Daphnia pulex: one gene and its partner. The protein of the gene in region 1 interacts with the protein of each later gene in a biochemical or structural test. Links are inferred from orthologs where the notes say so. Each region holds a gene or a part of one and is shown on either strand. Other genes may lie near its edges. The genes, in order: mitogen-activated protein kinase kinase kinase 7-like and TGF-beta-activated kinase 1 and MAP3K7-binding protein 1-like.

The links.
Region 2: of the proteins of mitogen-activated protein kinase kinase kinase 7-like (region 1) and TGF-beta-activated kinase 1 and MAP3K7-binding protein 1-like, one has a biochemical effect on the other in vitro, tested with the Homo sapiens proteins (4 studies listed by BioGRID and IntAct). The link is inferred for Daphnia pulex from reciprocal best matches to the Homo sapiens genes MAP3K7 and TAB1.

What each region holds. Positions count from the first base shown.
Region 1 is NC_060025.1:3,031,290-3,033,660, reverse strand, and holds the end of mitogen-activated protein kinase kinase kinase 7-like, read right to left. Parts: intron 1,814-2,371; coding exon 1,683-1,813; intron 1,621-1,682; coding exon 1,254-1,620; intron 1,187-1,253; coding exon 1,179-1,186; 3' UTR 588-1,178; downstream 1-587. UniProt on the Homo sapiens protein: Serine/threonine kinase which acts as an essential component of the MAP kinase signal transduction pathway. Plays an important role in the cascades of cellular responses evoked by changes in the environment.
Region 2 is NC_060020.1:5,657,305-5,661,607, forward strand, and holds TGF-beta-activated kinase 1 and MAP3K7-binding protein 1-like, read right to left. Parts: upstream 2,877-4,303; 5' UTR 2,711-2,876; coding exon 2,647-2,710; intron 2,584-2,646; coding exon 2,254-2,583; intron 2,190-2,253; coding exon 2,076-2,189; intron 2,002-2,075; coding exon 1,837-2,001; intron 1,774-1,836; coding exon 1,614-1,773; intron 1,539-1,613; coding exon 1,355-1,538; intron 1,292-1,354; coding exon 890-1,291; 3' UTR 818-889; downstream 1-817. UniProt on the Homo sapiens protein: Key adapter protein that plays an essential role in JNK and NF-kappa-B activation and proinflammatory cytokines production in response to stimulation with TLRs and cytokines.

The DNA of each region.
Region 1 (2,371 bases):
CTACTAGGCTATCTCAAATATAATTTAATCAGATGGTTGCATGCATGCAACTATACTTTTTAAAAATTGTTGACAACGATATCGCTGACGCACACGATAAATATATCGCCGTCGCCTTGGCCGTCGCTGGTTAATAAGGTAGTAGCAGAACTTTCATATGTGACGATTGAAGTGTAACCGCCCACAGTCTGGAGAAACCGCGATGACGAATGTGGCGTAAAAAACGAAAGAAATCTCATGCGATGAAAGAAGCTAATTCAGTTTGCTTTTTTCCTACATTAATTACACGGACATGCAAACAAAACAACAAATATATTTTTTTAAATATTAATAACTGCTGGCAGCTGTTCTCACGCTTTAACGATTCGATCAAGGACTTTATAGTTGTTTGATTTAAAATATTATATTTTTTTGTTTTCAAATATTTTCCCGAAACTTTCATCTGCATGGTGCAGAATGTCCGCTCTGCCAAGTTTGGCGCCAACGAAGGAGGAACCTTTAAGTCTCCCGAACCAAAAAAAATGTTTTGGCTTACTTTCAAATGTTGTCATTTAGCGAAGGATTTACTCTTTTAATTTGTGTGACAATTCAAGCATCCAAGAATTCCATTCTATTTCAAGCGGACATTCATGACAACTTTTGGACATTGAATTCGTTTTTTCGAAAGATAAAAACAAACATGTTTATTTATGTTTCGTCTTCGTCTCGTCCTGAACGGCACCTATCATGGATGGATTTTGTTTATAGTCAACAGTCTCGTGGGCGAAATATTCGAATGAAAAGAGGTTATTTAAAAACTGGAACTGAAAAAAAGAAATGAAGAAGAAGAAGATTTGGGATCTCGTAATCCTTGCCTTGGGGCGACGATAGGCTGCGGATATATGTCGTCCATCGCACACTTCACACAAACAGCACCTTAACTGCAAGCTAAATCTAGCCAAAGTGTGGCCGGTCTCAAGCCAAACCTATAAGGCCACAAGAAAAATTTGGCGGCATCCGCAGAAAACCCTCTCAACCCCCGGTCGAATATTTCCGGGTGACTTGGGAAAAGAACTTGACACAGCATCTAACAATAAAGTATGGATGAAATGGGGAACGGTTTTACACGATAAATATATCAGAACAGTGAAAGACAAAATAACAGTAATTTTTCAGAACCAACTCGGCACCGTCATTTTTCAAATACCTAAAGGAAGAAAAATTTTAAATTAATTTGACGACGAGTCAGAAAAAATTTATAGAAATGATTTTACGCGAAAGAACGACCCAACCATCGTCAGGCAAAGGAGACGATCTTGATTGATCATTAGGCTGTGGAACTTGTCGCTGTTGTTGTTGCTGCTGCTGTTGTTGTTGCTGCATTTGGAGTTGTTCTCGATGAACTTTGCTGAGCTGCTCTGTAAGATTTCGTTGAAATTCGAGGAGGCTCTTTTTTTCACTTTCGAGCCGGACAAATTCTTCCACCGATCGCTGCAATTCCGACTGTTCAAGCGGCTGTTGACTAGTTCGCCGCTGCTCCGTCTGTTGTTTCTTTGTCTCTTCCAAATGTTCAACCAGCTCGTTGCAATATTTGGTCATCCACTGCAGCTCTTTCTGCACTTCCAAATATTCCTTTGCCATCTAAATTTCATGACAAAACAATGTTAGTCACGGAAAACAATTCCGGGATTGATGTGACCAACCTTTCGATGTTCTTCGTAGACCCTCATCGATACTTGACTAGTCGGGCATGGTGGGATAGGCCTCAGCGAGGGATGCAACAGGAAAAAGATTTCGTCAATGGGCTGCTCTCCAATGACATGATTCGTTTCACCTGCAATTCAAAAGAAAACAATACAAAAATCCAGTGAGGCGAATTTTCAGGCTGCCAAAATATCCGCAAGGTTTTTTTTTCTCTTCACGACGTAGTAATCTGATGCCTAAAAAGAGGCAGCTCACGTACAATAGAGGAAACACCAATAGTGCCAGCACAAGATTTCAATGTCGGTCACTTCGTCGCCGAGTTGCGACGCAACCGACTCCATCGCCGCCATGAGAAATTCCGCCATTTGATCACTAAAAGCCATTTGCATGGCGGTTTTATTCGACGAGAATTCGGTCAGATTTCGGCTCACCGTGTTCGAACCAGCGTGTTGACTGAAGGACCCTTTCCAACGAGACCTTGGGTTCCCTCTCTCTTTCTCCCGCACACGACGAGAGAGAAGGAGAAGAGCGCAGCGACTGTAGAAAAAAAAGGCCAGGACGGAGGGGGTCCGATAGCTAATAGCAAATGTGTGCGTTAAAAATATCCCGCGTGCGCATCCTGTCCGTGTTCGTGTGAATCATCACCGCGAGCCTTCACCAGCGTTCTAAACAAATACTTTGATCGGGC
Region 2 (4,303 bases), on another chromosome or scaffold:
TATTCGCCAACTATCCACTCACGTCCGTTCGTACGCACGCACAGTCGTCACTCGTCAGATTTGCATGAGATTGCCGACTATGGGGTTTTGATCGGGAATTTTCCATAAATTGATTGCCATCTCGCTTCGTCAGCTTAGACTTTCTCTCTCCACTTTGCCAGTTGAAACGAAATCATTTAGTTTCCTTCAAACTTGTGTAGATGAAGTCTTCTTCAATGAGGTTTATTCATTTCTCGTCGTTGAGTCGTGGAGTATAGAATGTGGTTTGCGTCTTATTGGTCAAATTCCCAGATTCCAGTTGACTGTGGTAGCAGGACGATATGCGGTGTCATTATTAAGGGTATAGCCGCTCGTGTCAAATTCCTGGAAGAAAATGGCATCCTCCGACAGAGCAGCACTAGGAGCTGGTATAAAATCGTCAAACTCGAGGGAGAACGCTGAACGCCGTTCATCCGTAATTCATTTTTCACAAATTATTTATTATTACGAAAGTATTAATAAAAGTCTCTAAGAAATTTATACTGCGGTTTACAAGAATTTGCTTTAGGCGGTCTCAGAATGTGACACGGAAAATGATTACACTGAAAAAGAAATGTCTGGCATTGTTGCAGCAAAAACATTTACTGATTCACTGCTCTCAGAAAATTTAAATCACTCAGTGTGTTCAGACCTCGTGTCGTGTGACGAAGCAAAAAGTGTTTTCCGAAAAGATGTTATCAAATCAATTAGTCCACTGAATTCATAACATTTCTATAATTCCTCGAATCTTCAACTGTGAAAAGACTTCAGCAAACTCGACAGTATTCGCAAATCAAGGTAAATCTTAAGTTAATTTTATTGGGGTAATTTCGCCTGTACATATCAGTATTATAAGCCAAACACTTATAAATTAGTATATCGCATCCTCAGGAATCGTGCCTTCATCTTTTGCTTTTCTGACAGCTTGATAAAAGTTGGTGAAATCCACGTAGGGACCAATCCTCCCATCTTCATCAAGGAGCATATTCTGAGATTGATTTGACTTGATTTGCTCTGAACTCTCTGTTGAAGATGTAATAGAAGCCTCAGTAAGCGTTTCACTAATACTATTGCCAACTGTAGAAGACAGTGTGTTTAGCTGAGTGTCAAATTTCAATCCCATCGTTGAGGAATCATTGCTGTATGCATTGAGGGAAGTATTATAACTACGTAGTGTGCTACTTGCACTCAGTGGAGCAGACAGTTGAAAGTTGAAATTTCGAATCAGTAATGTTATGTCATCTCGTTGACAGCAAGTGACATGATTTGGGTCCTATTTCATGCCAAGAAAATCAGAATTAGCTTTGCCCAAGACAAGAGTAGTAAACTTCCATACTTCCATATAATGATCGTGATGAATACGTGCGATTCGATCGACAACACCTTGAGCTACACCCGTTATAGTGCTTTGGGATCCAAATTGTTCCACAACAATCTGAGCAATTTCTTTGTTAGCCTGTTCGCTATTTGTCGCTTCTTCTAACGCTCCGTACAATCCTTGAGTCGTTAACAGTAAAAACCTTTAATAAAGAGAAAAACAGTAGATGGCTATGGTTGTTACGGAATTAGATAATTGTCGTAGTTTTTTTTTTTACCTGCAAGACTCATCCAGATTAATAGGTCCTATGATTTCAGCATCAGCAATAACAGGTTCCGCTTTAGCTGCACTGAAGAGATCGAAATCTTTGTAGCCTCCTTTAACAGTATAATTTCCCAAGCAACGAGTCGTTAAATGACTTCCTTTTCTCGGCAAATCTGCACAAATCATTTTGAATCAATTAATTATCTGAGATTAAAAAAGAAAAATAATTGAATCACTTTGAAGTTTTTCCACTTCAAGTCCCATATGCGACAGACGGAGCACTTCATCCTCGTTGGTCAAATCATGATCTACCGTTAGCTGCATTACTCTCAAAACTCCTTCTGCGTCGATTTTACATAATAAAGCTCGGCAGTCTCCAACATTAGCGACATACAAGTGACCTATACAAGTGACCAACAAGAATATCATAGAAATGCTTGTAGTATTGAACCACTGAAGCTGTTGTGGTACCAACCATTAAAGATTAACGCAACTGCAGCTGAGGCACTCGCAGACAACCGAACATTAGCAGCTCTTAGTCGATTCACAATATCCGGAAATTGTTGGTATGCATCATATGATTTGATTCCTATAGTAAGATTAGAGTTTTTGTAAAGAAGGTAAATGTCAGGTCATGCTGTATAAGACAATACCTTCAGGTAATTCACATAAAAGATTTGCTCTCTCAGCCAGTAAGTCATCAATTGATTCGAAATAGCTGCGCTCTACTGCTAGGAAAGCTTCATTTAAGACTTCTTTCACAGCTTCTGGGCTGGTTTTATCATTGAGCTGCCCAAGAAGGATTTCTGCAGGCATGCGCTGTGCAGCAAAATCTGCCACAGAAGATCCATCTTTCCCATTGAATACTCCATACAGGAATGTGTGATCATCAATTTTGAAGTGGAAACTTCTATCTTCACATTCACGGGCCTCTCTTCTATAGCCATCTTCTTTATAGATCTGATTTGTTGATAACCCCACACCTGTCAAAAAGAAAGTTAAGACACATTCAATTATCGGACTAAGATTTTGCTTTATTTAAAAACCTGTGTAGAAGCAAACGGGTAGGTCGTCTGTCCAACTTTTAGTTTCAGAAATTTCTGCTGACATTAGAATGGCTAATCAAGGTTTGCAGTATTATGCAGAGTTCATTAAAGCTAAAGTAGGGTAGATATTCTGTTATACTTATCACCACACTTAACACTATCGTCAGTCCTAACAGAAATGTGAAGTACCTAATGTGCTAATGATTAGTGAACGAAGCGTCGTCTTCTGCTAGTTTGTTTACCAAAAGTGGTCTCGCCATCTGCTATTCACATTGAAAACTATCACAAAAATATTTCCCGCCAAGGTTGATTTTTAAAATTCAGCAGTTCGTTTTCGTAGTTCGTCTTTTCTCTTTTGGCAACAGCTAGGTCCCCCGTCAGCTGGAATCTCACTATTTTAGTATTGTGCATTTGTCTTTTTCTTTTTCAATTTTTATGGAAATGGTCATAGTCAACTTATAATAAAAATGACTTGATTAACTCCAAGCTAAAAGAACATTTTTACTAGGAAGATCGAACCTCCATTGTATATTTGATGGATTTGATGTGCTATGCACAATATGCCTTTCTTAAAGCTTTTATGTTCGTTATTGAGCACATTTTTCCTGAATACTGAATTGTTCAACGTTATTGAGAATTGAGATCCCTAAATGTTTAACTGTGTAAACATTATGCTTTAATGAGTAATTCGTATTTCGATTCGAAATTGTTCTATTTTGTAGTCAATTTGAGTTTTGGTTTTATTACATGTTGATGTTATACTTTTTCGTTTTATTACATGTGGTCTTTATCTTTGCCATAATCACTACCGCAGGCAGACGGGCTCTAACTGGGTTTGGTAGGAAGGTGGTTTCAGATTAAAAATTTCTTCTACAGTATTGGCTTGAATTCATTCCCTGTTTCTGTTTGCAGCCAAGAAATTGTTCGATATGTAAGAACGGGAAACCGAGGACCTGAAGGATTCAGTCCACGATTTTCCCTCTACCTCTCTGCTATGCTGACTCATGGCGCCAGTATTGCTCATCACAAACAGTGACATCATGAAATGAATATGGATTGATCATGTGTTCGAAACTTGGATAAGATTGACAGAGGAATATTTTCAAAAAAGCCGACTGTCCTTCAAACGGTTCGAAATTTGTATAAAGTGAGTTTTAAGCGATAATCATTTAATTTAGTATTCATTTTTATATTGGTTGTTGTAGACCCATCCCCAGCAACGACAACCTGCAGAAGGAAAGGCACGTAAAACTTGTCATGCAGTGGTGTAGAGGTTGGGTGAGAACGACACGTGTTACATAACCATTTGGTATTCATTTTGATATTGGTTGTTGTAGGACCCATCCCCAGCAACGTCAAACTGCAGAAGGAAAGGACAGTCACACTCGAAGGTCACGGAGATCATTACGTTTACGTAAAACGTGTCATGCAGTGGTGTAGAGGTTGGGTGAGGACGGACGTTTTGCATCATTATCAAGCAGGTACAACACCCGCAAGGCTTTAGAGGTGAGGGTGAGAAAAAAAATAGTATAAAAGGAGAGAGAAAAACTGAAGGAAAATCAGTCGAGTGAGCATATCCGACACGGCAACAACTGCAGCGCACTCACCATCTGCATTCTTCACCGTATTGCCAGTTCGCAACCATGGGTAAATATTC